Diceros bicornis minor: one gene and its partners. Each later gene encodes a partner of the first gene's protein in a complex. Links are inferred from orthologs where the notes say so. Each region holds a gene or a part of one and is shown in the gene's direction. Other genes may lie near its edges.

Evidence for each region.
Region 2: EXOSC9 (region 1) and EXOSC6 share a complex: the UniProt entries of both Homo sapiens proteins name them as parts of the RNA exosome core complex. The link is inferred for Diceros bicornis minor from reciprocal best matches to the Homo sapiens genes EXOSC9 and EXOSC6.
Region 3: EXOSC9 (region 1) and EXOSC5 share a complex: the UniProt entries of both Homo sapiens proteins name them as parts of the RNA exosome core complex. The link is inferred for Diceros bicornis minor from reciprocal best matches to the Homo sapiens genes EXOSC9 and EXOSC5.

What each region holds. Positions count from the first base shown.
Region 1 is NC_080750.1:15,124,445-15,135,322, forward strand, and holds the start of EXOSC9 (exosome complex component RRP45), read left to right. Parts: upstream 1-6,108; 5' UTR 6,109-6,194; coding exon 6,195-6,260; intron 6,261-6,600; coding exon 6,601-6,695; intron 6,696-7,456; coding exon 7,457-7,576; intron 7,577-7,692; coding exon 7,693-7,795; intron 7,796-9,035; coding exon 9,036-9,173; intron 9,174-10,802; coding exon 10,803-10,878. UniProt on the Homo sapiens protein: Non-catalytic component of the RNA exosome complex which has 3'->5' exoribonuclease activity and participates in a multitude of cellular RNA processing and degradation events.
Region 2 is NC_080771.1:24,926,677-24,937,424, forward strand, and holds the start of EXOSC6 (exosome complex component MTR3), read left to right. Parts: upstream 1-6,297; 5' UTR 6,298-6,329; coding exon 6,330-7,151; 3' UTR 7,152-10,748. Other genes in the region: AARS1 (alanine--tRNA ligase, cytoplasmic), read left to right, coding at 1,637-1,745, 2,438-2,551, 3,182-3,301, 3,430-3,516, 3,933-4,046, 4,446-4,631. UniProt on the Homo sapiens protein: Non-catalytic component of the RNA exosome complex which has 3'->5' exoribonuclease activity and participates in a multitude of cellular RNA processing and degradation events.
Region 3 is NC_080773.1:15,380,206-15,390,755, reverse strand, and holds the start of EXOSC5 (exosome complex component RRP46), read left to right. Parts: upstream 1-5,953; coding exon 5,954-6,085; intron 6,086-6,211; coding exon 6,212-6,452; intron 6,453-10,430; coding exon 10,431-10,544; intron 10,545-10,550. Other genes in the region: BCKDHA (2-oxoisovalerate dehydrogenase subunit alpha, mitochondrial), read right to left, coding at 5,703-5,873. UniProt on the Homo sapiens protein: Non-catalytic component of the RNA exosome complex which has 3'->5' exoribonuclease activity and participates in a multitude of cellular RNA processing and degradation events.

The sequences.
Region 1 (10,878 bases):
ATATTCATCTTCATATCCTCATACTTTAATGAGGAATTTTCAGGTAAAGATCACTTCATCACTACTATAAGTTTCCACAAGAATATAATTTATGATGAACACAGACATCTTCCTTTAAGAAAACTTGATATATAAAACTAGAGATAGAAATTATACATAAGTGAATATATAGGCACATTATAATAGTTTAGGATTGCCAGATTTAGTAAAAACAAAAAAAATACAGGATGCCCAGTTACATTTAAATTTCAGATAAACAAATCATTTTTTTGTATAAGTATGTCCCATTCAACATTTGGGACAAATTGGACATAATTACACTAAAAAAATTATTTGTTGTTTATCTGAAATTCAGTTGTAACTTAGCATCCTGTATTTTATCTGGCAATCTGTATTAGTTTCCCATTGCTGCTGTAACAAATTACCACAAACTTAAATGGCTCAAAGCAACACAAATTTATTATCTTACAGTTCTGGAGGGCAGAAGTCTAAAACGTGTCCTCAACGCTACCTTCATTTTGGAAGCGCTAGGAGAGAATCCATTTCCTTGCCTTTTCCAGCTTGCAGAGGCTGCCTACATTCCTTAGCTCATGGCCCCTTCCTCTGTTTTCAAAGCCAGCAGTATAGCATCTTCTCTCCTCTCTGACTTCTGCTTCTGCTGTCTCATTCGTTCACCCCTCTCTCCCTTCTTCCCTGCCTCCCTCCCCCTCTCTCCTTCCTTCCTTCCCCACTTCCATCCCTCTGAACCTAACTCTACTGCCTTTGTATTATAAGCACCCTTGTGATTACACTGGGCCCACCTGGATAGTCTCGCCATCTCAAAATCCTTAATCATATCTGCAAAATAACTTTTGCTATACAAGGTAACATATCTACAGGCTCCTAGGACTGGGATGAGGACATCTCAGGGGAGGAGGCATTATTCTGCCTACACACACCCCATAATAGTTGAGTTACAAGTTTAACCCAGTTAACAAACTCTACTTTTATTATTTTATTGTTTCTAATTCTATTTATTTGTAGAAATCTCATTGGCATGGAAATTTTCTGGATCATATTTATTGTTTAGACATTAAACTATATAATTTCCTACAGATTTTTATCAATGAGCAGGAAACTTCTTTTTACAGATGAGAATAGATCAAAGGACTTCAGTCATGTGCCTGAGATAGAGCCATGTGCCTAATTTTCTGTGTCCAGGATTATTACCCACATGTAACAACAGTCCGAATGCAGTGGAAATCAAAATGTCACCTGACTCTCTTCCCCCCTCACTTTGTTGTACTTATGATAAGCTAAAGACTGATAATTTTTATTCCTCTAAATATATAGGAAAAGCTTAATAATGACATGAGAGATCATTATATAGATTTCTGAGCATAGGAAACGATAAGAATGAAAAGGGAAGCTCTTTTAACTATTCAGGAGAAACTAGAGATGAACTTGATAATCTAGGGTTTCTTATTTATAATACGAAGAAAACAATATGGAAGGGAAATATATACTACATCTAACTTGTTAGTGTTCCGTTGTTGTCTTAGTCCATTTGCGCTGCCAAAACCAAAAGAACACAGAATGGGTAGCTTATAAACAATATCAATTTATTTCTCAGTTCTGGAGGCTGAAAGCCCGAGATCGGGGTGTCGGCATGGTTGGGTGAGGGCTCTCCTCCAAGTCGCAGACTTCTTGTGGTATCTTCTTATAGTGGAAGGGGCCAGGGAGCTCTGTGGGGTCTCTTTTATAAGAGCACCAATCCCATTCATGAGGGCTCCACTCTCATGACCTAATCACCTCCCAAAGGCCCCACCTTCTAACACCATCACCTTTGGGGGTTTAGGATGTCAACATATGAATTTGGGGGGGACACAAACATTCAGACTATAGCAGTTGTCAACGCTTAAAATCTTTTCACTTATTAACTATGTGGTTTCCAGTTTGAGTCTTGAAAAACAACAAAACAAATGTCTTTGTTAAAAGGTAGCTGAGGGCCGGCCCCGTGGCTTAGTTGTTAAGTACGCGTGCCCCACTACTGGTGGCCTGGGTTCGGATCCCGGGCGTGCACCCACACACCGCTTCTCCGGCCATGCTGAGGCCGTGTCCCACATACAGCAACTAGAAGGATGTGCAACTATGACATACAACTATCTACTAGGGCTTTGGGGAAAAAAAAGGAGGAGGATTGGCAATAGATGTTAGCTCAGAGCCAGTCTTCCTCAGCAAAAAGAGGAGGATTAGCACGGATGTTAGCTCAGGGCTGATCTTCCTCACAAAAAAAAAAAGGTAGTTGAAAGCCAAAATTCCTTTAAATAAAAAAACAGTTAAATGTGTCAGAACAAGAAAAGGAAACTGTAACTATTTATTTATTTGAGATAACATTGGTTTATCACATATAAATTTCAGGTGTACATCATTATATTTCAATTTCTGTGTAGACTACATTGTGTTCACCACGCAAAGACTAATTATCATCCATCACCATCCACATGTACCCTTTTACTCCTTTTGCCCTCCCCCCTTCCCCTCTGGTAACCACCAATCTAATCTCTATATCTGTGTGTTTTTGTTGTTGTTGTTTTTATTTTCTCATTATGAGTGAAATCATACGGTATTTGATTTTCTCCATCTGACTTATTTCACTTAGCATATTAACCTCGAGGTCCATCCACATTGTCACAAATGGCAAGATTTCATCTATTTTTATGGCTGAGTAGTATTCCATTGTGTACACCTATGTATATACCTATATATACACACACATATATATACGCATACATATATATACACCTGTATATATGTATATACCACATCTTTATCCATTCATCCATTGATGGGCACTTATGTTGTTTCCAAGTGTTGGTTATTGCGAATAATGCTGCAATGACATAAGGGTGCAAATATCTTTTCAAATTAGTTTTTTTTTTCACTTTTCTGATGATAAAAGCTATTCATGTGCCTTACAGAAGATTTAAGAAATTCATAGAGAAAAAAAATTCAAAAAGAAAAAAAATTTTCCCACAATCCCATCACCCAGATATAACTATCTTAACATTTTGCACTATTTCTTTGCAGGATAATTTCTGGAAAATCAATTTCTATATAGACAAATTGTACAGCAGACATAGTACATGGTAACTAAAACGTAAGCTTCCATTTATTCATCCATCCATTAATTTCTTTCACCAGACATGTTGTAATAGTCCATTCATGCATTTATTCACAAGGTACACTACCAGTCTCAGTGGGTGCTATAAAGGTTAATAAGACATGGATCTTTATACTCTAGTAGAAGTGTATTTAGTCAGGATTCTTTTGGACACACTTAACAAAAGACCAACCCAAATGTATTGGCTCACCAACTGGGAAGTCCATGAGCTGTTGCAAACTATTTCTACTAAGGGGTCCACTTCTCTCTCTGATTTCTCAGTTCTGCTGGCCTCTGACTTCATCTTCAAACAGGTTCTCTCCATGTGGTGGCAAGATGGCCCCTGACAGTTCCAGACTTGCATGGTCCTTAGAGTTTATAATCCTAGAGAAGTAAAGACCTACTCTCTCCCAGAATTTACATGTCAAGACTGATGGAGAAACTCTGTTTGGCCCTGCCTGGATGAACAGTCAATGAGGAGAGAGGGATAGAGTTCCATGATCAGCAGGGCCTCGTCACACCTGTGCCTGCTATTAACATTAACACCAGAATCACGTGGGGTCAGGAAATGGCATTTCTCCAAGAAACAGAAGGGTGCTGGTCAGACAAAGTAATAGATGTCCAATAAAGAGGAGAGAAGACATATACTCAAATATTTTTTTAAAAACCAGGTTATATTTAGACAGATCATCCAGGGTAATAGGCTGACTCAAACTGATTCTTTTCTAAGAACAGAATGTACATTATCTGAATCTCTTCTCAAACTTCAAAACTTTTTTTTACCCTTGAAAGCATAAAACAAAGGTCCCTTGGGTGTTTCAAAAGTTTCTTAGTAAAAACAAGGTTGTGAAGTAAATTCATCTTATGTTGATACATAGATGTGAGTGGAGATGGGTTGTACACCTTTGGATGAACGCCAATGAAAGGCAAATGCAGCCGTGTTAAAATTACAATAGTATAACACATAAAGTAGCAAAGAACGGTGGAAATTCTACAAAAGCGGAAGGAAAGCAAAGGCAAGGGAATCAAGCAGCAATCTCAGAACAGCAATCTGACATGGCGAATTTGGGCAGTTTCACCGGAAGCCTTTGCCAAGCCAAAATAGGAAGGAAACTAACATTTGAACAGCTATCCTGTCCAAAATATGGTGTTAGATGCTTTCATTCAGACCACTTAACACTTATTATTCCCAACCTAAAGATACAGAAGCCGAAATTCAAAAGAATTATTTAACTCACCCAAAGTCCATTTAAGCTGAAATTTATCTGAAGCCAAAGTCCATTCTTTTTCCACTCCCAAGCTGCCGCCCAGGAAAGGACAGACTATTTCAATAAAGGCCTATTTAATTTCTGAAGGAAATGCCCACTAAGAGAACCCAAGGATTGAAACGACAAACTTAGCCAGGAGTTCTGTTGTGAAACTGTACTATAAACACGAACCCATGTTGTTAAAGGACTTACATGGCCTGGACCACGTAATCCCCTGGCCTATTTTGAAAATCAATCAACTGCAAAAGCACAGACATAATTTCTGTACACTCTCCTCCTTCACAACCCCTGTCTCCAGACCATGTCGAGCTCATCCTATCTCAGTCTTGGCTCATGTGGCTCCTTCTGCCTGAAAGTTTTCCTTTCTTCCAGATGGTATCACGGCACTCCTTCTCATCAGTAAGGATTTACTTAACTCAAATTTCACCTCTACCAAGCGACCTCTTCCTGCAACCACCCCTATTAAAATCGCATTCCCGTTCCCAGATAGGACTCAGTGTGTGAAACTTTTATTTATTTGTTTAGGTTTTTATTGTTTGTCTTCTCCAAAAAGAATATAAATTCCTTGAGGGACAGGATGTTGTTCACTCTCTGTTTCTCCAGCATTTGAATTATTCTTGGGACACAGGAGGCCCTCACAAATAATCTAAGTAATTTATTGAACGCATGGATTGCGAGCGGTACAAACTGAAACTACAATGTATCACTGGTAGGAAAAAAACCTGCGAGAAGAGACAAAAGAAGCGGAATGGAGCCTGTGCAGGAGTTACAGTGCCTATCACCTCTAAATCAAATGGAAACAAAATAATAATATGCAAACACTTTAAATAGCGCTTACTCCATGCCAGGCACCGTTTTAAGCATCTTACATGTATTAACTCGTTTTTATCCTCATAATAATAGGTTTATCACTCCTGTTTTGCAGATGAATAAAGTGAAGCACATAGGCTAACTTGGCCAAGGTCACAGAACTGGGAAGGGCAGTCAGAATTTGAACCCGGGTATTCGGAGTTCCTGCTTGTAACTACTCGATACCGCCTCTCCAAAAAAGCCCAGCGGTTGACAGCACTGACACACTAAGGTTCCTCTATGCCCATAAAAATAAGTCTATCGGCTTAAAACAACTGGAGAGACCGTAAGAAATAAAGAGCGAATTTTGTTTCAGCCAATGCCAGTTATATCATTAGTTACAAAGCGGGACTATTCTCAGTTCTTGGCAACTTCTCAGGTCTACCAGATTTCACCGTCAGCCCGCAACAACACCCCAGCTGACTCTCAACTGGCTTCTCCCCTCTCCTGTCCGCTCAAGCCGCTTCATTCCACCGTTTCCGCACTGAATCTGCTCCCAACTCCGCCTCCGCAGCTTTCTCGTGGCCTAACCTCAACTCCCGCACCTGGAAAAGAGCAGTAATGCCCGTCTAGCCTACCCCGCTAGGACTGCGGAGAGGGTGAAGTGTGAGCGCGCTACAGTGACATTAATTTCTATCACTGATGGTTATTTTGGGGTCTTTTTCTCCCCTACACTTTACGACAAGACATACAGATTTCCGTTCAGAAACTCGCCTCCCCACGCCGCTTTTTCCTCCCAGCCAGCTCACCCTCCTCCATCCTCTCTTTGAGCCTGCGCACTAGCGACGGCCCCCCACCTGTGCTTTCCCAGCTCAGCCGCCGCGCTTTGATGATGTAAATCTCCTGCGCCGCCAAGCGACTCGGGCGCGCGTGTACAGCCTCAGGTTCAGTTTTCCCACCGATTCCGGTGCCCGTGGGCCCCGTGACCCGACGGCATGAAGGAGACGCCACTTTCAAACTGCGAGCGCCGCTTCCTACTCCGCGCCATCGAAGAGAAGAAGGTAAACGGCCGCGGGGAACTTGGCGCTGCGTGGGCGCTCGGGTCGCGCGGCCGCCCGCAGCCTTCCGGCTGGGACGCACAGGCCGGGCCCGCGCAGGCCCGGGAGCCCCGGGGGAACCGGCAGTGCGTTTCCCCGATCCCCAAGGCTGTGTTTGGCTCCGGTGGGTTCTTTCAAGGCTCAGGTCACCCCAGCGACTGTCAGCGCCCGGGCACCTAGTTCCCACTTTCCTGTGGGGGGTGGTTGGGATCCCACTTTCCTCCAAGTGTGTAGCCCAGGGCACGAAGTGGCTGCTCAGTAAATATTTGCTAAAGGAGTAAATGAATGAACGTTGTGCTTGCAGCGGCTGGATGGCAGACAAACCTATGATTATAGGAACATCAAGATCTCGTTTGGAACAGATTATGGGTGCTGTATTGTGGAACTTGGGAAAACAAGGTAACAAAGGATTCAAATTAGATATAAGCTCAGTAGGGAGACGTTTAAAAGAACCTTATAGGCTCAGTTGTTTACCCAGCAGCTAAGAAGTCTGGGCAGTACTTTGTTTACCTGCCAAAAATAAGCATATTTTCTTTAATGCAAGATTTTTTTTTGTTTTATAGTCACTTTAAATTTCTAATCATAAATATGTTTTCTGTCACATGAGTAGGGCATAGTTCTTTCTGATCTCTATAAATCATATATACACCCAGCAGTGATTGCACTGAATTTGTTTCCTACACTTCTTGTCATTAGATAGCTCCTGCTTTCCTCTTTTTCCTGAGTGACATGAGATTTAGGTTTTTAATATTCATTTGGAATTTGTGAGGATATTGCTTAGATAATGTTCGAGAACCATGCCATATGAAAACTCTTCAGAAGTCTGAAGTTTTCATGCCATCTATTATCAGTAAATATTTGTTTTAAAAAAGAGAAGTAAATGCTATTGGTTTTTTTAGAACAATCTGTGGAATAGTCAATACTGTAATAAGAGATGTTTTTTCCCGTCATCCCTTTGGGTATGCCAGTGTGAGTTTTATTTCTGTATATATTCTATGACGATACTTTATATGTAATTTCAATCTCTAATGATATATCATGCTGAGTATGTTATTACTCAGAGTAAGATTGAATCTTAATTGGTATCTGATTTAGATTTTTTTTTTTTTAATTGGAAAGGAAATATATGTAGTTAACAGATTTGTACTTTATCTTTGCAGAGTCCTTGGACAGGTTTCCTGTGAACTTGTTTCTCCAAAACTCAATAGGGCGACCGAAGGTATTCTTTTTTTTAACCTTGAACTCTCTCAGATGGCTGCCCCAGCTTTTGAACCTGGCAGGTATTTAAGTCTTTTTCTTAAGCTGCTTTAGCCAGAAGAGAACCTAACAGCAGTGAGCTAGTGTTTTAATGCCAGGTGTTATATTTCATGACATTAGCCCATTCCTATTTTCATAGGCAGTCAGATCTCTTGGTGAAGTTGAATCGACTCTTGGAAAGATGTCTACGAAATTCGAAGTGTATAGACACTGAATCACTCTGTGTTGTTGCTGGTGAAAAGGTGAGGAACATGCCCAGAATGCTTTTTTTTGTGTGTGTGAGGAAGATCAGCCCTGAGCTAACATCCATGCTAATCCTCCTCTTTTTGCTGAGGAAGACTGGCCCTGAGCTAACATCTATTGCCAATCTTCCTCCTTTTTTTCCCCCCTTTTCTCCCCAAAGCCCCAGTAGATAGTTGTATGTCATAGTTGCACATCCTTCTAGCTGCTGTATGTGGGACGCCGCCTCAGCATGGCTGGACAAGCGGTGCGTCGGTGCGCGCCCGGGATCCGAACCCGGGCCACCAGTGGCGGAGCGCACGCACTTAACCGCTAAGCCACGGGGCCAGACCCCAGAATTCTTAATCTTAGGATGAGCATTGTTGATTCATGGATCCCTCTATGTATGCCTTCATTCTCAGAGCTTCAGTTAATTCTGTTTTATACTGGTCCATTTCACTTCAGATGTTCCTCACTGCTGCCCGTAGAACTTTGTATTGTCTCTCTCTGAAGGGACAAAAAACATTGGTGAAAATAGTAACTTGGATTTGTGTAAAAATGTCTTATTCCAAGCACTTGTGGTTTTTCATATATTCTCATTTATTTTCTTATATTATTTAAGTGAGTTGTTAGAAGTGAGTAATGTTTTCCTTCTTTATGGACAACAAACTGAAGAACAGATTAAATCCTTCATTTGGATATTGACTTATATAGGTCCACACAGTGAGTCAATGGTCGTCGGAATAGGAAATATTACTCTCCATAAATTGTGCTGCATGATGATATTAGAACTTTATTCTGGAATAGGGTATTTGACCGTCTTTTTGACTCCAGAAAAGCTACTTACTTAACCTTTCCACATTCTGTACTTGAATATGTTACTTCCTATTTGCATTACTTGTAAGGTTAGCATAAATACTGTCAAGTAAAACCTAAGAGTTTGAGTTTTTTAAGTTAGGAAACAATAAAAATATAATTAGGCTTGGAATTAGGGAAATCTTAGTATTAAATGTAGAGTGGTTCTGTTTATTTAGAGTATATATTTTACTGTTGTCAAATGACTCATAGAAAGGTGAACTATTGGTAATTCAGATGTTGGTCTTGCTTAACATTTTTCTAAATACATTTTTAATTTTACGATAGAAGGAGTAACTGCATATTTTAACAGCAAGAGAAAAATTTGCACACAGTGTTACTTTTCCTTGTAAATAGCCACTGGTTATGATAAGTAAGGATTTATTTTTGTTTTAAATTCACAATCAGGTTTGGCAAATACGTGTGGACCTACATTTATTAAATCATGACGGAAATATTATTGATGCTGCCAGCATTGCTGCGATTGTAGCCTTGTGTCACTTCCGAAGACCTGATGTCTCCGTCCAAGGAGATGAAGTCACACTGGTAAGCTCCCATGTTGTGAGCCGGGCTCATTCCTGTGATGAAGCCTGGCAAGCAACGTGTTATTAGTGAGGTCTTGTAGATGGCAATTAGGTATGTTCTAAGATTTGTTCATAAGGCAGAAACTGCATGTGGTCGAAATTGCCCTTGGAATCTCTTAAATCTCCTGAATGGAAGTGTCTGTCAATGAAAGCACTCCTTAGCCTGGTTTTCTAGAATAGAACTAGATGACTTCTTCTTTGGATTGAGCACTTAGATGAAGTACTTGTCTTATATTTAGGGGCCACTTTGTGAAAAATACATTGATTCTAAGCACAGTGAGATGCTTATTCTTACTCTGTGGCAAAAGTCCATCAGAAACACCTGGAAGGCTTGTTGAACCATATGGCTAGGCTCCACCCTCAGAGTATAGGGATAGGACCTACGAATTTGTACTTCTAACAGAGTTCCCTGGTGATACTGATGATGCTGGTGCAAGGAGCGCATTTTGAAAACTATTGACCTATACTGTTTACATCGTCTTTCTCTTTTGTGCTGAGTATGTCAGTTTATATAAATTACACGCTAGAATAATGAAAGTGCACCGTGGTGATAGTTTGAGACCTGAAGTTGCAAAAGGAAACATCAGATGCCCAAATTCTCTAAGCAGTCATTCATGATGCTGCTTTTAGGCATTAGACTGGAACAGACTCTTTAAAGACTTTCAGACAGAGACAGAGGTTTATTAACAATAGAGACATCTTCCTTTAGAGAAGGGAGTTGGTATAAGGAAGTAAAAAAGTAGAGAGCAATTAATAGACAAAAAAAGATATCAATTAAAAAATACTGTTGAGTTATTACTGGCAGTAATGTAAAATGGTACAGCCACATTGGAAAATTTTGGCAGTTTCTTAAAAAGTTAAGTCTTAACTTATACAGCCCAGCATTCCGTGCCTGGGAATCTGCTCAGGAAGAATGAAAGTGTATGTTCACTCAAAGACTTATGTGAATGTTCATAGCAGAATTATTTGTAATAGCCCAAAACCAGAAACAGTTCAAAGGTGCATCAACTGGGGAATGGAAAAACAAAATGTGGTATATCCTTACCATGGAAGACTATTCAACAGTAAAAAGAACCAAACTACTGATATATACTGCAAGATGGATGACACCTGTGAAGTTGAAAGGAGACAGACGCAAAAGACTACAAATTGTTAGATTCTACTTATGTGCGATGCCCAGAAAAGGCAGGTTTATAGAAGCAGAAGTAAGATCAGTGATTGCTTGGGGCTGGGAGCGCAAGTGAGAATTGACTACGAACAGGCTCAAGGGCATTTTGGGGGGGAATGGAAATGTTAAAAAACTGGATTGTGGTGATAGTTACATGACTATAAATTTATTAAAAAGTGAATCATATACTTACAATGAGTGGGTTTTATGGTATATAAATTATACCTCAATAAAGCTTTTTGACCAATGCTAAAGTTTTAAGGAACCTGAGTGGCAAAGTGAAACAGATGATTATAAAAGAAGTTATTTAGGTGCTTACTGAGGAGTAAAGGAATTTCATGTTTTTAATATTTGATGTGCAAGATGACTTTTTGTACGTTCATAACATAGTGACTGATTATTGAAACATTTATTTTCAAACAGTATACACCTGAAGAGCGTGATGCTGTACCATTGAGCGTCCACCACATGCCCATTTGTGTCAGTTTTGCCTTCTTCC
Region 2 (10,748 bases), on another chromosome or scaffold:
CCCTTGGGGGATGTGTGTAATAGGCTAGAACAACTCTCATTTTTCTAAGGTTGAAATGAAGTTCTCAGAAATGCAGTTGCCAAACAATATTCCCAAGGATCTTAGCATCCTAGTGCTCCAATCAGACCCCTTAGGGTCTGACATTCCATTTCCTGGGTTTGTGATGAAATGTTCTTCCTAGGAGAGGTTGAAAAAGCTTATCTTAACATCACATAATTGCATGCTCTTGTTCCCTGGGCTGATCCCAACAAGAGGGCCTATGAGTTCAGGATTCAGCAAGGCTGTGGAGTGCTTATCAAGCTTCTGATCTGGTCCTAGCCCCTTTGCATTCCTAGGGCTTCACTTAGCTCCCTTTGCCAGCTTGAGCCGCATCTGGGCAATTCACCCTTTTCTCAGAGCCCCTGAGTCAGGCCACACAGTAGACCCAGTTCACTTGGGTTTGGCGGAGCCACTGGTTTCTGCCAATTGAGATACCTCTATAGCCCTTGGGGTCTTTTTTTTTTTTTGTGAGGGAGATCAGCCCTGAGCTAACATCCTTGCTAATCCTCTTTTTGCTGAGGAAGACTGGCTCTGAGCTAACATCTATTGCCAATCCTCTTCCTTTTTTCCCCAAAGCCCCAGTAGATAGTTGTATGTCATAGTTGCACATCCTTCTAGTTGCTGTATGTGGGACGCGGCCTCAGCATGGCTAGAGAAGTGGTGCGTCGGTGCACGCCCGGGATCCGAACCCGGGCCACCAGTAGCGGAGCGTGCGCACTTAACTGCTAAGCCACCGGGCCGGCCCCCTTGGGGTTTTTTTGAGACAGTCATGGTGGCCTGGGAAGTTCCAGCTTCCAAAAGAAGCTTGGTGAAAAGAATATTGTTAAGGCCATGGTAGAGCCGTTTCAGGGCCTCCTGAGGCCTCAGGCAAGCAGGGAATGGGTGGGCATGTGGAGGGTTGGGTAGGGATCTGGGAGATCACATTCCAGGCCTCCCTCTGCCCAGCTAAATTGGCCTTCAAATGAGTCCCACTTCTGCCTTAATATCTCTTTACATGACACTCTTTAGAGCACAGGAAACAGCTTTCAAAGACTATACCACCTTCACAGAATCACTGTGAGAGTTAATGAGCATTTGAGGTTCTCTGAGCAACTGGAGAATAAAACCTGTTTGTTTAGGGGGTTGTGGTAAGATTTTAAAGGTAATCTCCAATATTCTCAGCCAGTGAGCAGGGATAGAAGAATATAGCTTTTGTTCTACCAAAGACAAAAATGTGAATGAATGTAGAGGCTGCCAGTAGTAATATTGTATGGGGTATTAGGGATTACAAAGCACTTTCATTTGATCTCGTTTGATTTTCACATCTGTCCTGTGAGTGAGAATTATCCCCATTTTATACCTGAGAAAACGGAGGCTCAGAAAGGTTGTGTCTTGCTCAGTGTCACAATGCTCTCAGCCCCAGGCCTTCTCTGACTCTCTTCCCCTTCCTAGCCAGAGCTGTATTCTGAAATTCCATTTTCCCACTGTCCCTGGGGAAGCTTCCCTGGGAGCAACTACTTCACAGGGCTTGTGCCCCCTAGCCAAGGGCTCCCAGGCTGCGGTAGGAGGCCAGGGCCCTGGGCTTCCTCATCACCATGGACTTTGTGTTCTGCATCAGGCACCTGCAGAATTCAAGTCATGCGGGAGCTTTTGTGATTGTGAGTGAAGAAGCTATTGCCAAGGGCATCCGGAGGATTGTTGCTGTCACAGGTGCCGAAGCCCAGAAGGTGAGCAGATCAGGCTGGTTTGTGGCTTATTTGAACAAGGGAAGAGGAGCCCAGTCTGCAAGTCCATAGTGCAGACAGTTATGTGGCTGCTGCAGTCAGAACTGCAAGTACAGTACTACCCTCGAAATATCCTCAGTTACCCCCACCTGGCAGGAGAAAGCCACCACCACACAAGACTTCCGAGCTATCTTATGTTTAATCTTTAAAAATATATGTAAATTCTGCCATCTATTCCATAATATATCCTTGTGTAGGAGGGTCAGCCATAGTTTTGCTGTGGCTTCCGCTGCCCCTAGCACTCACCCACATCTCCCTAGGGGTACGTGCCTAATTTGAGATGCGTGGAGGACAGAATCAGTTGCTCCAGGGGTGGGGACTATGGCCTGTGCCTGATGCGTGCCGAAGCCTGAAGGGGGGTGATTTCATGGGGTAAGAAGGGCTCCTGACTCACAAGTTCTCGGTCACTCCCTGAACCTGAGTTAGTGCAGCCTTTCTGCTGACCAGGCGTGAGGTAGGTGCCTGGGGCATGAGGCTGCCAACACTTGCTCTCTGAAAGAAGAGAAGCTTCTCATGTCCTGGGGTGTGTTGTTCTGTAGCCTGCCATTAGTGCTTGCCACAGTTGTTTACAGACAGAATAGTGAGCTGAAAGTTACCTGACCTGGACTTGACAACGCTGATTATCCCTCTCGCAGGCCCTCAGGAAAGCAGAGAGCTTGAAGAAATCTCTCTCTGTCATGGAAGCCAAAGTGAAAGCCCAGACTGCGCCCAACAAGGACGTGCAGAGGGAGATTGCTGACCTGGGTGAGGTAGGGGCAGCCTCCCTCTCTCCCTCCTGAGTCCTCTGAGTGCCGGGTCCTAGGTCTGATGAATCAGAAATTCCCTGTTCTTGAGGAACTCTCAGGTCCTGATTCTCACTGCAGTGGGCCTTTGGACTGACTGCTGTTGTCCTGCAGCCTTGCAAAGGGGACTCCATGGATCCTGGCCTATGGACCCCTGAAACCTCCTGCTACCCCCCATTACCGATGGCAGGAGAGCCCATTCCAAGCATGAGTGGGCACCGGTATAGAGAGTTGGGGGAGGTGCCGTGGGTGCCCACTGTTTCCAGGCCTCATGGTGTTTGTTAATATTCAGGGGCTTCCTGTTAGCCCATCAAAGGCTGTGTTCACTGCCTGCTAGGGGCCAGGTTTTATAGGGGATCCCAGCTCTCTTTATTCTGCCCCTTTCTCTCTACCCCTTGTTAAAACTATTGCAGTTGCTCATGAAGTGACTGCTCTCAAGGCCAGTGGGTACCTTTTTCTTCTCTGTTTTCTCTCTCCTTCTGGATACTAGTCAGGGAGGACTCTGGTATTCAAAGCCAAAGGCATGGAGTGGGCTGAAGCCTCACATCCTTGCTCCTTGTGGTCCAGAACCCAGTGGTATTCTCGTTCTGGTTCCAGGCCCTGGCCACCGCAGTCCTCCCCCAGTGGCAGAAGGATGAATTCCGGGATAATCTCAAATCCCTGAAGAAGATCATGGATGACCTAGACCGGGCTAGCAAAGCTGATGTCCAGAAGCGAGTGAGTCCTGGCAGTGCTGGTGGCTGGAAGGGAGGATTTACCCAGCAAAGGCTATGCAGACTGCTCTCTGGGTGTCGGAGTCTGGGCCTGTGACCTGAGGCCTCTCTTCTGGACTTCCTTCCTTGCAGGTGTTGGAGAAGACAAAGCAGCTCATTGACAGCAACCCCAACCAGCCCCTTGTCATCTTGGAGATGGAGAGCGGTGCCTCGGCCAAGGCAACCTAGGGGCTGGGGCTCCAGACACCGCTCTGCGCCTGTCCACTGCTTGTCGCCTTTTCTCAGGGTCTCATCAGCCCTCTGGTGGCTGAAGTGTGAGCTTTTGTGGCTCTGAGCGGAGTGGCTGCCTGAGGGCCCACTCTGGGATTGAGGTCAGGCCGAGCCCTGGAGAGATCTGGTGGCTGGAGAGCTATGGCTCCTGGAGGTAGAAGGCAAACCTCAGAGGCAGAGCGTGGGCAAGGCCTGTACTTGGGTCCTTCTCCATACAGGCTCCTGGGCCCAGCACCTGCTCTTAGAAGGGGGTGGGCGTGAGGGGTGGGGGGTGCTCTGAGAACTGAGCTCCGCAAACTCGCTGCACTTGTGGAGAGCATGACTCCTCCCCAGGGCCATGGTCTGACACCAGGTTCTCCCCGCAGGCCCTGAATGAAGCCTTGAAACTCTTCAAGACACATTCCCCTCAGACGTCTGCCATGCTCTTCACAGTGGATAATGAAGCTGGCAGGATCACGTGCTTGTGTCAAGTCCCCCAGGTCAGAATGCCCCGCAGCCTTGTGCCAGTGGGAAGTGGTGTCTGTAGCTTTTCTGAGGGAGCTTGGTTTTTCTTACCGTTGTTTGCCAAGACCCGTGTATGTTTGTGCAAGCCCTGTTACACATGCCCACCTGTGTGTCACCTTCTCCGGCATCCCTTACCCTGAGGCCCTCTTCTTGGTGGATATGTTTAACTGTGTTGGCTGCTACCTGGCTTTGCCATTCAGTATGCCTCGTCCTGGCTGTGGTACCAGCTGTAGGATCTGTGTCAATGTTGGCAGCATCACCTAGCACAGTAGTGGGTGTCTGTCTACCCCATCCTTTTGCTTTCTCTCACCTCTCCATGTCTCCCTTAATCCTGTCCTCTGCCCTGACTCCCACATCCCCTTCCTGTCTTCCAGAATGCAGCCAATCGGGGTCTGAAAGCCAGTGAGTGGGTGCAGCAGGTGTCAGGCCTGATGGATGGCAAAGGTGGTGGCAAGGATGTGTCTGCTCAGGCCACAGGCAAGAACGTGGGCTGCCTGCAGGAGGCGCTGCAGCTGGCCACTTCCTTTGCCCAGCTCCGTCTGGGAGATGTAAAGAACTGATGGGGGGGACAGCTTCCACTGGGAAGCGTTTCCCCTTCACTTAGGTGCATCCGTCCAGCCAGGAGCTCTCCCTCCACCACAAGGACATTTGAATCTTGGGATCTTTAAACAGCGCCATCTGTCTTCCTAACCCAGCAGTAACTGGAACTTACCTAGGAGCCGGCCTGTGACTCCATGCTCACATTACATTTCTGCCCTGAGCCCTCCATGTCAGCGCCATCTGTCTAGAACCACTACTCCAGGATTGCTATTTATCATTGTCATGCTCGTGTCTATAGATAGTTTTCCGTAGACCTGAGGCTCTGGGTCTGCAGGGAGGAATCATTTTTACTGCAAAGAATAAAAGGACCATGTGCAATACTTGATGATGCTGTGTGATCTCTAACCCCCTGCCACCGCCCCCCCCCCCCCGCCAGCCAATAGGTGCCCCCTGTGTATCAGCGTGGCTCCCTGGGTGTCTGTGGAATAAATGCTGTGGCTCCAGCTGGCTTCTGGTTGCAGTCCTCCGCCTAGCCCAGACCCAGACCCCTGAACTTTGGGAACAGCCCCTGGGATTGCCTCAAGACGTTTGTGGAGGTGGCCCTCAGGACAGGTGGGGTCAGGTGGAGAGAAACATTAATCGTTCAACAGAAGATGATCCCCAGGGTTACTGGAAGCAGAGAGAGGCTCCTTTCTTGGAACCTCTCCATTTCTTAGGCCTGTGTCCCTCTTCTTCTTCCTTTTGATGTTGAGGTCGGGTGTGAGGCCAGAGGCGTTCTCTGGTACAGGAGGTACTGGGGTGCATTAGTTGCCTCCCTTCCATTGACTGCCCCATCATTCCTAGTTCTTTGACCCAAACATGGACAGTGAGCATGAGACCCTGCCCTGGCCCTGAGTGCATTCACCCAAGTCTGAAGACAGTGGGTTTGGAGACAGTAGTTTGAGGGGAGGTTAAAGGTACCGCTTGCCTGTGCCAGCTCTGGCTGATTTCATGTCCCCGGGGTAGAACAGGCCAGCCCTGGGGCCCAGGGTCCCTCTCAGCCCTGCTGATGTGGAGGGAGAAGGAAAGGCAGGTCTATGCTGGGAGCAGCAGCAGAGAGCAGCTGTCACAGGCAGGCCTGGAGGTGAGGGGCTGTCCTCACTTGGAGTGTGAAAGAAGCAGGCAGGGGGAGGCGCAAGCAACGAGCCACATGAGGAGCGTTAGCGATACAAAGAGCTTACACAGTCCACTGCGGGAGACAGTTCCATTCACTCATTCACCAGGCATTTATGCCAGCAAGAGCACTGAGGATACAGGAGTGAACAAGACAAAAGGTCATTGCCCTCTTGGGCAAGGCAGTGGGGGACACACATAAAATGGTCACACAAATAAGAGCAAAATTAAAATAATTACAACCTTTACAAGTGATAGGAAAAAGACCTACGCCCTGGGATTGCCCTAGCCCGGGAGGCTAGAGGTCAGCCGGGCCGGCCCAGGTCCCACTACGGCAGGCCTGCCAGTCCATTCATCCATCAATCCATTCAGCTCTGGGCGTCCTTGCTGCGGCCCCGTGGCTCGGCAGCTCTCGCCGTTCTCCCTCCAGGACGGCAGGGGGCGGGCGGCACAGCCCGCCGGTATCCCGACAGCCCTGGCGCGGGCGCGCGGCTTTAAGAGGGCGGAAGAGCCGGCGCGCGAGGCCGGGCCGACGGGCGGAAGCGGCGTGGGTGCCAGCCGTCGCCATGCCCGGGGACCATCGTCGCATCCGCGGGCCCGAAGAGTCGCAGCCGCCGCAGCTCTACGCAGCCGACGAGGACGAGGCGCCCGCCGCCCGCGACCCGACGCGACTGCGGCCCGTGTACGCGCGCGCCGGGTTGCTGAGCCAGGCCAAGGGCTCGGCCTACTTGGAGGCGGGGGGCACCAAGGTGCTGTGCGCCGTGTCTGGTCCGCGCCAGGCCGAGGGCGGCGAGCGCGGCGGCGGCCCGGCCGGAGCGGGTGGTGAGGCCCCAGCCGCGCTGCGCGGCCGCCTGCTCTGCGACTTCCGCCGCGCGCCCTTCGCGGGCCGCCGGCGCCGCGCGCCGCCGGGCGGTGGCGAAGAGCGCGAGCTGGCGCTGGCCCTGCAGGAGGCACTTGAGCCGGCCGTGCGCCTGGGTCGCTACCCGCGCGCGCAGCTCGAGGTGTCGGCGCTGCTGCTGGAGGACGGCGGCTCGGCCCTGGCCGCCGCGCTCACGGCCGCCGCGCTCGCCCTGGCCGACGCGGGCGTGGAGATGTACGATCTGGTGGTGGGCTGCGGCCTGAGCCGCGCGCCGGGGCCCGCGCCCACCTGGCTGCTGGACCCCACGCGGCTCGAGGAGGAGCGCGCCGCCGCCGGCCTCACGGTGGCGCTCATGCCCGTGCTCAACCAGGTGGCCGGGCTCCTGGGCAGCGGGGAGGGCGGCCCGACCGAGAGCTGGGCCGAGGCCGTGCGCCTGGGCCTCGAGGGCTGCCAGCGCCTCTACCCCGTCTTGCAGCAGTGCTTGGTGCGGGCCGCCCGCCGGAGGGACGCTTCCACGGCACCGTCGTGAACTAGAAGCCTAAGCAATGACGGACGCCGTGGACTGAGCTGCCGCCGTCCCCGAAAGGACCTGCGCCGTCGGCTTCCACACTGCGCCGAGCTGAGAACTCGGAGCACGGGAGAGGATCTGGGGAGGTGCGCACAGAACTGATGCTCTGGACAGCTGTGTTGGAACGATTTTTTACAAGCTGTTCCGTTAAAGACACTCTCTACTTGAGCTGGTTCCCATCTACGACCCAGTTGAAGAAATCTGCGATGCAGCCTGACTCCCAAGTTGGAAAAGACTTCAGCTGGACTTAATCTGGAAAACGGGACCTGGAGCTATGGTCTTGTAAGGGGTGGACCTTATGCAGGCCAGCCAGTGACTCCTGCCTGTATAATTGGGCTGCTTTTGAGAGAATGGACAAGGGGGCTGTGAATTCTCACTTATATCTGAGCTAAAACAAAACAAAAACCGTTTTATATCTGAAAAAATCTTTTGTGGTTCTTCTTGGTACAGGATTTAAAGGAGCAAGGCTTTTCTGAGCTGGATAGTTTGTTCTTGGACCTCTGGTGTCAAGGGCTTGGGACAGCATTGTCTTAAATGTGTCCTGTCCCTTAGACTAACACGAGCAGAAGAGACAGGCTGAAAAGGTTGATGCAGGGAAATGTATTTTGGAGGAGGAGAAGCTGCCCCTCAAGTGCCAGAGTTGGGCCACTGCTGAGGTGTGACAAGAGTGGGGAGGGTTGTATGGCCCCAGGAGAGCTCCAGGTGCACCCCTCTAGCCTCTGGTTTGGTGCTGGGCAAGACTACAGCTCAGGGTTGGGTAGTTGGGAAGGGTTTGGCTCGGGATGGAAGTCAGATCCCACCCTTCCTTGGCCATATGCAGAGCAGCACAGCCTGGGACCTCCTCCACTGGTGGTAAGAAGTGGGAGCCCAGGCTGGCTTCATTATCTGGTGCCCTGTGTCCAGTCTTGGCTCCTGGGAGAGAGCAGATGAACTGCCAGGAGTGAGAGCTTCTGGATGTTGGAAAACCAGATGCAGTCTGGCCATTCTGTAGGGCAGAGCCAGCCTGGCTGACTGACCAGAAGGGTGGGGTTATCTTTGTGTGGCTCCTCAGCCCCTCGGGTTTGTGCTCAGGTCTGGATTGGAGGAAGGCAGGGCAGCTTTGTCCTTGCTCTGCCCCAGCTTGGTATGAGCTGCTGAACTTTGTCTCAGAGGCCTGCTCGGCTTCTCTAGGGAGGGCTGGCCTGGGGCAGCCCCAAGGACCGGAATGAGACTCAGAGACCACACCAAGAACCCCTGACCAGGGAAAAGAAATGCAGATTTTATTTTTCCCCTTCTGATATAATACGTTTCCAGAGCAGACCTGAAATACATAGTATCACAGCAGCAAGGGACAAGGTAGAAACAGGACATAAAAACGATGCCTCTATTCTGAAGCATGGCTTTGTAGGGTGGATGGGGAGTCGGGAACTAAAAGGGGTTATGTGGGGCACATGCCGAGGACCTTAAAACTCAGTTGCAGACTGGAAGGGGGACTGTAGGAACAAGTATATTTCCTCTGCACCACTGGCTGGAGAAAGCTGCCTAGGTCAGCTGCTGTAGGATGCTCCACACCTAGACAGGACTGGCGGGGTCTCAGGAGGGGAGAAGAGCAGCCAAAGCAGTACCTGCAGTCAGAGAGACTGACTGGTGCTCCCAGGGGTCCCTGTCCAGCTGCCCCTTGCAAGACTGGATGAGGATGGTGAGGTGGTTCTAGGCAGTTGCAGGCCTCCTCCCTCCCATCCCTACCAGTCCCCGGGCTATCATCTGGAAACACGACTTCCAAAACTAAAGCCACCCTTGTGGGGAAGCTTCCTGGCTGGTCTGGCTGAGCCGTGCCTCCACTACCATTGCCTTCACTCCAGAATGGGTGACTCCGGTTGCACAGGTGCCATCAGGAGGCCTTTGAAAAACCACACAAGGCAAGGAAGGGGGCCATCGGGGAAGGTGCCTGGAGCTAATGAGCCCGGAGGGATTCCAACCTACTGGCCGCCCTCCTGGTCCGAAGCATGATTCTTCACCTGTAGGAAAAAGAGAAGCAGAGCTTGGGTCAGGGGGGCTGAGAGGCACCGTACGACTGGGAAAGGGAGGGCCATCTACTAACATCTCCCAGTCTCCCCTTACCCCCACCTCCCTTTCTTGGCAGGTTTGGCAGTTCAGTGCTGTTCTAGATTCTTCCTGAGTCCTGGGAACCCAGAACTATCAGACAAAAGAAAGCATTCTCTCCATCTAGCTGTCTTTTTCCAGATGTGACTCTGGGCTGGTCAGTAGTGAGAGCCCTCTGGAACCCAGCAGGCCAAGGGGCAGAGCTGGCGGGTGGAGGAAGGGGAGCTCGTCACTGCCAACCCCCAGCAGCCTGAGCCTTGCTGAGGTGGCCCAAACAGCAGCGGGTCTTGGTCCGCCTCAGGGACCACCAATAGGGAAGGAGGATATGGTAGGACAGGGAACATTCTGGCCCTTTAATGATGCACACAGGGTTATTATTAGATCCAGGTGTGGATATTCTCCATCCAGAAAGGTCTGTGCCACAGCTTCCCTGGGGAGCGTGGTACAATGCAGACAGTCTAAAGACCCTAGGGGCAGCAGGTGGGGGCCCCGGGACAGGAAAAGGACAGAAATCTGAGTTTTAACAAGCTTACCAAGTGATTCTCAGGCAAGGGATCTGGGGCCACGAGGCACACCTGTGACATTCCCTCCACAATGCTCAAAGCCCTCCCCTAACCCCCTCCATCAGGATGAGATGGTATTTCAGCCCAGAACTGGTCCAGCTGAGCTGACCAAGCCTGAGTTGAGAGGGGATAAAAAGCAGGGCAGGGCCCATCTTATCCTGAGCATTGCCTGTGGTTGAAGTCATGCCTCCTCTCCCCCAACCCACCACTGTGGGCTCCCACACAAGTCCGAGTCCCTCCCTGGCCCACAGGGAGGCCACAAGGAGGGGGAAGATGGGAGGAGGTGCCAGGCCACTCACTGCCTCCTCCGGGTCTGTGCTGTCCTCAGAGCTGTGTGCCTCTGGATGGGCCCTCTGGCCCCCGGGCTCCTGCTGGGGCTCAGTGGTTCTGCTTGAGGAACCCTTACTTCCAGGGCCCCTGTTCTCTTCGCTGTTCTCTGTCCCTGTGCAGGGAGAGTAACCAGTCAATGGCTGGGTTTCTGAAGCCCCAGCTAGCTGCTGAGTGGGTGGGGGTGATAGGACAACCCAGAAGCCACAAGAGTCCTCAAGCCACAGGAACAGCCAGAGAGAGTGGGGTAAGTGCACTCCGGGGGGCAGGGAGGATCCCTGCAGACAGGAAAAGCAGAGGCAGGACCCTGAGCACCCTTGGCACCCTCAGGAGTAGGAAAAGCTGGAGCCTGCTAAGAGCGTGGCCTGGGCCCACACTCGTGGGTGCCTGACCTGGACGCTGCTCCCTCTGCTGGTCCATGTGCTCCAGACTCTCCAATAGGTGGTCCACTTGGGCTTTGATCTGGCTCAGCTCCCCCCTGATGGAGTGCAGCTCCTTAGTTTGCACTGTTGGGAGAGGGGCCAGAGTTGGTGCCCCGCTGGGCCCAGGGGGCAGAGAGCAGTGCTGCCAGGGCTCCCAGGCCTGC
Region 3 (10,550 bases), on another chromosome or scaffold:
TTATGCTGTGGCGCCGTCCCATGTAAAGTAGAGAAAGATGGGCACAGATGTTACCCCAATCTTCCTCAGCAATAAAGAGGCGGATTGGCAAACAGATGTCAGCTCAGGCTAATCCTCCTCAAAAAAAAAGTCAGTCTGCCTGGGTTCAAATCCCTTGCTGAGCAACCACAGGAAAGTGATTCCCCTCTTCAAGTCTCTCCTTTCTCATCTGTAGAATGGAGAACACCTCATGGAAGTGTTGCGAGGCTTAAACGAGATCTTGTGTATAAAATGGTTAGCAGAGTTCTTGTTAAGTCGTACAGTAAATGCTCAAAAAAATGTTGATTATCATTTCTCCCACCATGTCCCTGCTCTCACCTCTTTACTAGAATGCCTCTTCCCCCATCACCTGGCAAACTGCTCCACACGCTTCGATGCCCTCTCCACTGCCGTCCTAACTCCCTCCACCAGCCCAGACTGACTCACTCAACAAACATTTGAGCACCTGCTTCATTCCAAGCCCTGTGCTGCGTTCTGCGGGACCCAAGAGATGCAGCAGGGAAGACAGATGCTGAATAGGTACCAATGAGGGTGACCCATATTCTCCTAGGAGAAGCCAGGGAAGAGTAGAAAGAGGATCAGGCTTCTCTGAGTAAGTCATGTGACAGCTGAGGCCTGAAGGATGTCTAGGAGTCAGGGAAAGAGCATTCAAGGCCAGGGAACAGAGCACACAAAAGGCACAAAGTGAGGAATGGCGTGTCCCCCGTGGAACCTGGGAGTTCCGAGTGGCTGGAGCAGTCCTGTGGGGAGCTCACATCCCTCGGATCAGAGGAGGCTTGGCTGGCAAAGCCCGGGAGAAGCCTACGTGCTCAACGGATGTGAACCGATTTGCTTTCTTAGCCCTTGAGCTAGCCTTGGACTGGTCTCAGGATTGCAACAGTGCCCCTTGCTTCAGCACTTGCCAGGTGCCAGGCTGAGCTCCGCATGCACAGTTGCACTGAGTGCTCAGAGCACGTCTGTGAGGCAGGCATTCTTTACTACTGCCTTTGAGCAGATAACGAAACTGAGGTTCAGGGAGGTACAGTAACCTGCACCAGGCCACAGAGCTAAAAATAAACAACTAATTAAGTCAGGACTGGGCTTCAAACCTGGGCAGGGCTGACACCCAGACCCCAAACTCACAATCCTAACCCCAAGTGCCACTGCTGGTCAGGTTTCCACACATCTACTTCTTGACTTCCCACCGTCGCCAGTTGGCTCTGAGCTCAGTAATCGCGGCTTCACTTCCCATAGGAGCTAAAGAAGAATGACTGAGGTTTGCCATGAGCTGGGTCTCACGTGTGTGTGCTCAAGTGTGTTCCCCTCCCTCCCACCTTTCATTGCAGTGAAGTAGCCGTCCAAGGTTCCAGCGGGGGAGCGGGAACATGGATGCATTTATGTGCATTTGTGGTTGTGAAGAAATAAAGGAAATTACAGCCCCAACAGCAGGGCAGGCCCAGGCCTGACACCATCACAAGCAGATTCCCCTCCGCCTGCGAGGGAAGCAGTCAAACTCGCAGACCAGGCTTCTCCCTGCAGTGTGCTCACATGGCCGGACCTTTCCATCTACGGGGAGGATCCGTTTGTCCCTGTCTGTCTCTCACACACCTCACAAGCTCCAGGAAGACAGAGATCACGCCCAGGTCACTTTACAGAGCGGGCACTCAGCAGGCCATTACTGAACGAACAGATGAATGAGCGGTTAAGTTCAAGGCTTTGGAGTCCGACTGACCTGGGTTCCAATTTTTTATCTCACTGCATGGCCCTCTGCAAAACACTTTGCCTCTCTGAATGTCCTCATCTGCAAAAAGGCTGCAGAGGGCTGTGGCGAAAAGTTCCTAAGAAAAGGCACACACAGAGTTCAGCATAGACATGGGACATATTATATGCCCAAAAGCTGGTAGAAGGGGAAAAAACAAAATCAAGGAAGGTTTGAAAACGGGAATAAGAAAAATGCCTGGCACCTCAGAAGGAAGAGGGGAAAAGAGGATTGGGGAGAAGGACTGAATGCCCCTCACACTGGATTGTGATTCCAGACTGTGGCCCCAGCAGACACTCTAGAGGGAGACTGAGGCCCAGAGGAGACACAGGCAGAACAGGACGAGGGCTGTGGTCTGGGAAGGGGCTCTAGGAGGGTAGGTCAGGGGATGACATGGGTCAGGACAGGGTCACAGGGCTCAGAACCAACCAGGGTGTCAGGGCAGGACTCTGCCTGTGGAGGCTGCAGAGTTACCGTCAGGGCGCCTTGGCACACCCCACATACAAGTTGGGCCTTGGCTGTACACCTTCTTTCCTGGGCCTGTAGAGATGCCGGTGGTACCCAGCCCAGGATTACCGTGCTGATTCAAGGAGCTAGGGCCCTGAGGAAATGTCCCATTAAGGCAGTGGGTGGTAAAAGGCCTGCAGAGAAAGGATGTGACTCCACCCATCTCTTCTTGTTTTTGGTGGGAGGGTGAGTTTGTCCCACTGGCCAGCGACTTACAATGGCAGAAGCTGTGCAGATTTACACAAAGCATGAAGCCACATCCTCTCCCACTACGCAGGAAACAGGCCTGCTCTGGGTGGTCTGGTAGGCCCAGCAGGTAGTAGTGTGGTCCCTGGTGGAGCCACTCCCCCGGGCGCCAAGGTCAAGGGCAAGGACTCCGAGCAGACCGCACCTCCTGGCTGTGTAACTAAAGCAGCCTGAGCCTCAGTTTCCTTGTGTGTAAACTGAGGGTGATGGGAGTACTTATCTCATTAGGGGTCACGAGGATTATGAGTCGATGTATATAGAGTGCTCAGCCCAGTGCGTGGCACATAAATGCTTGATAAATATAAGTAGCTAACAAGTGTATTTGACAATTATTGTTGTCAAATAGGTAGATAGTGAATATTTGCTCCAAATCAGGCCCTGAACTGAGGGCTGGAGACGACAGGGAGGGACGGATAACAAACACTGAACACACAAGTTACAATTAAGAGAGGCGATCTCAGAGGAAGCAGGATAGTTCAGTAGTTAACCACAGGGCAGGGTAGGATGAAGGACTCTAGTGCTAAACTGCCTATGTTTGAATCCCGGCTCTGTCCCTTTCCAGTTATGTCACCTTGGGCAGGAGACAGTCTCCCTGAACTTGCATCCCCTGGTGGAAAAAATCAGAATTTCTACTTCACAGGCTTTTGGTGAGGCAGGTATAAAGCGCCTGCTGCAGCTCTAGGAGGAACCTTTCACTAGCCAGCATCAGGCGGAGGATGAGGAGAAGCTTCTCAGAGACGGCGGAGTTAAGGCAAGGCCCCACTTGCTTCTAGGGATGATTGCTGAGAAACCCACTCAGGACTCCTTAACAATCGAGTTTTCTTCCTCCTCTTCTCCCTGAGCACTAAAACATCTGCTAGCAACTAGACGGGGGAGGGAGGCAGAAATCAGGCAAATGCCTCCAGGGCATCAGGGTGTTCAGCAAAGGGCATGGGGAAAAGAGGGGCAAGCAGGCAGGGACGCAGTAAGGCAGCCCATCCTTCCTCCCAACCCAGCTTGCCCCAACAACCCAATCTGTCCCACTACACGACAGCCTTCTCACCTTCCCCCAAGACACTATCTCTTGGCTTCACTTTGACTGGCTAACAATGCACCATCCAATATGGCAGCCACAAGCCACCTGCTATTTAAATTTAAACTCACTAAAATTAAATGAAACAAAAACTTCAGTTCCTCAGTGGTACTAGCCACATTTCGAGTGCTCAGTAGCTACCGTACTGGACCATCATTGCAAAAAGTCCTATTGGACAGCCCTGGCCTAAAATCTTCTTTGATCAAATGCTACTACATCTTTCCTCCGCTCAAAAAAAGTATGCCTCTTTTTTAATCTTAGAAAGAATAAGTGGGAGAAATAAAAGTGGAGAAGAAAAAGCAGGGACTTTAATAAATTAAAAATATATAGGTGGCCTAGTGCTTAAGTTCAGCATGCTCCCCTTCGGCAGCCTAGATTCAGTTCCTGGGCGTGAACCTACACCACTCTGTTAGCAGCCATGCTGGGCTGGCGGCCCACATACTAAAAAGTAGAAGAAGATTGGCATGGATGTTGGCTCAGGGTGCATCTTCATCAGCAAAGAAATATATATATAAGCAAAAAGTAAGGACTCTGAAACACCTCCTCCTCTCCCCCACCTTCACCCCAAAAAAATGAAGGAGGGAGGCAAGAAGGAAGGGCAGCAGGGAGACCAGCCTGAAAGGAAGCAGATTTAATCAGCTATAAATGACCTTTCCATACTCCTGCCCCAGTCCGGTCCCGCCCCACTGACCCAGCCAATGGGCTCCTGGGACTGACATCAGCTGTGGAGAATCTGACTGCTCCAAAAAAAAGGGACAGAGAACAACCAAAAGGCAGGAGAATGCTCCACCCCCATCCTGCCCCAGCAACCTGCTGCAAGTTAACACCGGCACTAGATCCTCCCACATATTACTCCTGGCCCATCCTCTTCACCTTCCTGCCCTGTCTCTCTCCCTACCTAGGGCTTCTTCCCAGACTCCATCTTCCCTTCCTTATAAACTGGGGATCAGAGTGTCAGACCCAACCCCACAAGATCTTGACATATTTCCCTCCAGGGCCCTCACCAATCCAGGCCCTCCCAAAGTCACCTCCTTTCTTCACATCTTCAAGGTCGGTTTCTGTCCCTTCCCTCCATCCTCACTTTCAACAGCGGTCAACATTCCTATATCCTTTATCATATATCAGATCCAGTTCTTAGCACTTTATTTAATTTTCACAACAACCCTATGAGGTGGCCACTGTTACCATTTTACAGAGAGAGAAAATTAGGTGCAAAAAGCAGTCCCTTGCCCAAGGCTACACAGCTGGAAAGTGGCCCATTACATATATGAACCCACATGGTCTAGCTTCACAACCCACCTTTTGAACCACTTCTCTCTTACCTGTAAAATTTTAGTTCATAGCTCTCCTGCAGCCCACTGCCTCTCTCCCTCTAAATAAGAGCTTCCAACTAGATTTGTGCTAGGGGAGCTTGCCGATAGCAGCATCAACCTAAAGGGAGTCTCACCCTTTTGACAAGAAACGAGGCATTTTTTAAGTGTTGCTAAGAAATGCGGGCAAAGTCTGGACCTCTCTCCTTTCATTAATTCAACAAATATTTACTGATCTTCTCTTCTGTAGAGTGACCAAAACAGACAAGACCCCTGTCCTGGCATTTATCAGAGAACACAGGATCAAACGATTTTTTTACGCAATTCATTTTAAAATCAGAATTGTAGCCAAGGAGCAAAGAAATACAGGGCACTATAAAAGCCCGTGACGGGGGACCTGGTCTCTCTTTTATCCTCTTTGAAGAGGGGATTTTTACCGAGAAGAAAGTCTCCCCTTTCACTCTCCAACCCCTGCGCGGAAAAGTCTCGTCTTCCTCCCAAGTCCCTCCAAGCGGCCTCCCCGGGGGTTGGGGGGCAACCAAGGAGTAAGTCCCCTTCCTCTCTCCAAGTTGTCTCCCTCCCTCAGGGCCCACAAAGGAGCTGCCTGCTTTTTCTCTCCTGAGGAAGTGGAAGTTCTCTTCCTGAGTGTCCTCTCCGAGTGGTTCTCCCAGCCCTTGTCCCTTCTGTGACAGCCCTGCCTTCCCTCCCTGCAGGGACCCCATACTCTCAAGATAGCGTTGGAATCCATAGTCCTCCTTGTGGAAAACTCCCCAGTGCCCCAGGTACTCACAGATCTAGCCAGCCCCCGAACCCCAGTCCGCCGCAGGAGCAAGAGGCCAGCCTGACCCAAGCCTCGACTTGACCCCCACACACTCGCCGCGGCAGCCGCCACCGCCATCTTGGCTAACAACCCTCGGTGACCCGCCCCTCTCCTCGGAGAGACCGGGGGCTGCCCCTTCATAAATCTGACTCAAATGCCAGTACCACCCTGCCAGCACACCACCTACTACCAGTCCTGCGGTCGCTAGGACACATAGATGGATGGATAAAACAATCTGGCTTCCCAAAATCTACTCTGATCGCCTCATTGTAGCTGTTTCCGTAACAGGCAAACAGGCAAAGAAGAGGACAACCTCACCAGTGCCTCAGGGCTTTAGGGCCCTGGGGCCTCGGGTAGGAGGAGCCCATGCCAAGGCCCGCCCCCTCTTCTCTACTGTCCAATGGTTTTCCTGAAGTTGAGAGGCGGGGTGGGCGGGGTCAGGTTGTTGGTAAACGTGGAGCCACGTGCGGGCGCCAAAGCTCGGGCTCCTGGATCGGCGCGTGCGCACTGAATACGCAGCCAGTACGCAAGCGCTAGCTTTTGGACGGAAGCGACCGTCCGCGCTGCACGTGGGATCCGGGGCGATGCAGACTCACGCCAAGATCCGTAAGGAGTCCGGAACAGAATCCGACCCTCGAGGCCCCGGCTGCAGCCTCCGGCACTTTGCCTGCGAACAGAACCTGCTGTCCCGGCCGGATGGCTCTGCCTCTTTCCTGCAAGGTAAGAACTTAACCCAGTAAATACTGCCCGGGCCGTGTTCCCTCAAGTCATAATTGTTTTGGGGCGCGGCTGCAGTGTACCATGCAAAGGAGTGCCCTCCTCCTCCTATACTAGCTGGTAAATGTCCCTCCTGGACTGGCACACAACTTCATGCCTGGCTGGATACTACCAGGTACGCCAGGGTACATATATCTCTTCCGACTAGAAGGAAGAAGATATTTCCATTCCGGTAAATAACTCTTCAGAATGAGAGCGGGGCAGACCTTTCCATAAGAATGAATACTTTAGAATAGGGAAAATTTCACCGGAGTAAATATCCCCTTTGACTAGATTCCTTCGTCTCCCACACGCACACCCTGAGTCCACACATCCCAGGCTGAGGCAAACCTGTCCAGTTGCATAAATACCCGGTAGACTGACCAGTCACCACTACCGGCTTAATTACTTCCCAGACCGTGGCAGATCTTTTACCCCAGTAAATACTTTTCAGATTGAGGGTAATGTCCCCACCCCACCAATTGGGTAAATATCCCTTTGACTAGGATACACATCTCTCCATGTGAGTAAATATCGCTAGATTGGGGCAGGTCTTACTTATTGAGTAAGTATCCCCTTCTTGTAGCTAAATACCCCTCAAACTAGACTCCACTCCCTGACTGAGATAAATATTGCCCTGGAGATAAGCCTAAGGATAACCCCCATGGATGCTTCAGTCCCCTCACTAGGGCATTACCTTCTACCCAGTACAAAGCTCGTCTCATTCATTTCTTCACTGAACATGTACATATTTGTGCTAAGTACTGTTCTAGGCAGGGAGAATACATGATAAAAAATTTTTTTTTAATCCCTGACCTAATGGAGTTTACATTGTAGTCAAGAAGACAGACAATAACTAAGTAAAATGCCATGGGGAAAAATTAGGAGGGAAGGGGAATAGAGTGTGCCAGAGAGGGTTGCAATCTTGCACAGGATGGTCAGGAGAGGCCGCAATGAGATGGTAATATTTGAATAAAGACCTAAAGGTAACGGAGCAAACCCTGAAGATATCAGGAGGGAAAGCACACCAAAGCATGGGGAACAGCAAGGGCAAAGGCCCTGAGGCAAGAACTTGCCTGGTATGTTTGAGGAAGTCAGGAGACCACCGTGGCTAGAGCAGTGGGAGGAGGTTTTGGAGACAGGTAAGGAGGCTTGTACATCACAGAAGGCCTAGTGAATGCCATGGGAGCCATGTGACATGGTCTGAGTATATTTTAATAGAATCTCTCTGGCTGCGGTGTTGACTGTAGATGGTATGGAGGAAAGGGGGAGATGATGGTGGCTCAGACCAGAGTGGAAGCACTGGACGTGGTAAGATTCTGGGGTTATTTTGAAGGTAAAACCAACAAAATTTGCAGGTGGTTTGGTTTTGGGGTATGAGAAGAAAGGGATAACGCTAAGGTTTTTCCCCAGATCAGCTGTGCTGGGGGAAGGTGAGTTCAGTTTGGAACATTAAGTTTGCAGTGCCTAGTAGATATCACAGTGGCAATGCGGACTGGGCAGTTGGACATACAAGTCTGGAATTCAGAAGAAAGACCCAATCTGGACATGTAATTCGGAATCCTCTGGCTTTAGATAGTATTTCAGGCTATTGATTGGATGAAATCACCAAGAAAATGAGTATAGATAGAAAAGAGAAGAGGTTGCAGGACTAAACCCTGGGTCTTCTAACATGTGAGGAGCTAGCAAGGTAGGAGGAAAACCGAGAGAGGGTGGTAACTTGGGGCCCAGAGAATGTGTTTGAGATGTAAGGGCCGACCAACTGCATCGTCAGTCCTACTGAGAGGTTGCATCACGTGAGGATGGAATAGACCCATGGGTTGACAATTTGGAGGTCACTGGTGACGCCATCAAGAGCTGCTCCAGTGGAGTGGTGGGGTCGAAGAAGGGAAGAAGAGAGCCAGTGGAGACAGCTCTTCCAGAGCTTTGCTGTAAGATGATCATATAGGTGGGGCAGGAGTTGAAGATGGATGTGGGTCCAAAGAGGAAAGAATTGCTCAAGAACGTGAGAGGGGAGGGTGGTCCTATGCTCAGGTGGACCACAGACAGCTCGTCTGGAGTAACAGGAATGAAGCCCCCAGCAGGATCTAGTTCTGCTTGGGTAATTTCCCCCTTTAGGGCAGATTCTCCAGGAGCCATGAGAATTCCTCAGTTGTGTGGCAGCTCCTCCTTCCAAGCCCCAGGAAAAACAGCTCCGACCCAGGCCCTCCCCCAGGCTTAGCTCTCTTGCTAAATTCAGATGCCTGGAGTTTCTTAGAACTTAAGAAATAAGGAGAAAGGTAGCCCCTTGCATGTTGTAAAACCGCAAAGCCCCAGGACCCTGGAGCAAGAGGAGTCCTTGCAGATCCTCAAGAGTATGTCCCTTGTGTGCTTCTGGCCTCAGGACCTCTGGTGAGCTTGTTAAAAATGCAGCACCCCAGAACCCACCCCACGCCTACCAAGGCTCACCCTCCACATTTTTCACTGCTTGGTGATTCTGATTGCAGGCCAGTGTTCTGAAGCTGTGCTAGAGCTGCAGAGTGTAGGCCCAGCTGCAGATTAGGATGACCTCTGACGCTCCCAGTGCCTGAGCCCCACCCCTGAGCAAGTGAATTCGGATCTCTCACGGAGGGGCCTAGGCATCAGCATCTTTTCAGGCTTCGCAGTGATTCCAGTGTGCAGCCAGGGTTGAGAACCACTGTGTTAGTGGGTTGCAACCAGCATTCTTTTTATCTGGAATAGAGTAGAAAATATCAGAGTGTAGCAAAGCAGTGATGATAAGAGCTGTTTTGTGAGCGCTCTGTTCCATTTACACACACACGGATTTGCGTGAGTTTTGGGACTTGCTGTAAAATGTATTTCTTATTGGGAGTTATTGTGGTCTAGTGGTTAAAATTCAGCACTCTCACCGCTGCGGCCCGGGGTTTATGTCCTAGTCAGGGAACCACGCCACCCGTCTGTCTGGCGGTTGTCATCCTGTGGCAGTTGTGTGTTGCTGTGATGATGAAAGCTATGCCACTGGGATTTCAAATACCAGCAGAGTCACCCATGGTGGGCAGGTTTCAGAAGAGCTTCCAGACTAGACAGACTAGGAAGAAGGATCTGCCCAGCCACATCCGAAAAAACTGGCCATGAAAACCCTATGAATAGCAGCAGAGCATTGTCTGATACAGTGCCAGAAGGCGAGAGGATGGCTCAAAAAGACAGAGAAGGTCCACTCTGCCGTCCACAGGGTCACTAGGAGTCGGAATTGACTTGATGGTACTAACAGTAACAAATTGGGAGTTATAGTCAGAAAAGTTTGGAAGCCGCTGCTGTAATCAGTCTCGTCATTTTGCAAATGGTAGAGAAGTGAGCAAAATCAGCTGAGGTTACAGAGCCAGTAGGAGGCAGACAGGACCAGAAGCGAGGCCTTTATTTCCCGGGTCTTACCTTCTTTGCCCCCGTTCATTCCCACTCTGGGAAAATAAGCAGGAGTCAGGACCCACCCCCAGATATTTGTCCCTTTTTCAGGTGTCCTGATTGCTGCAGAGTTGGAGACAAGAGCCTGAAGGAAGAGAGCTGGGTTGAGAGAAGCTTTGGAAGGAAAAGTTGAGACCAGTGCAGTAAGAGGGAGGAAGGTTAGCTCTCAGGAAGAACTTCCCATAAAGTTAATATCAGCTAAAGTCTGTTGTGCACTCAGCATGTACCAGGCAGTGTCATAAGTGTTTACATGGATGGTCTCATTTAATCCTCACAACACTGAAGGAGGTACTGTTGTTATGCCCACTTTACAGATGAGGAAGCAGGGGCAGACAAGTGAAGCGAGTACTCAAAGAATCACTGCCAACAAATAGTGGGCTGGAGTGGGGGTGACGTGGGGAACCCCAGCCATCCAGCTCAGTGCCCACACTGTTAAGTACCACGCATTGGGCCCCAGAGGCAGGGAAGATGTGGGTGAGGCCTCCCATGCTGTCTCCCCAGGGGATACCTCCGTCCTGGCAGGCGTGTACGGGCCGGCCGAGGTGAAGGTCAGCAAAGAGATCTTCAACAAGGCCACGCTAGAAGTGATCCTGAGGCCAAAGATCGGGCTGCCTGGTAATT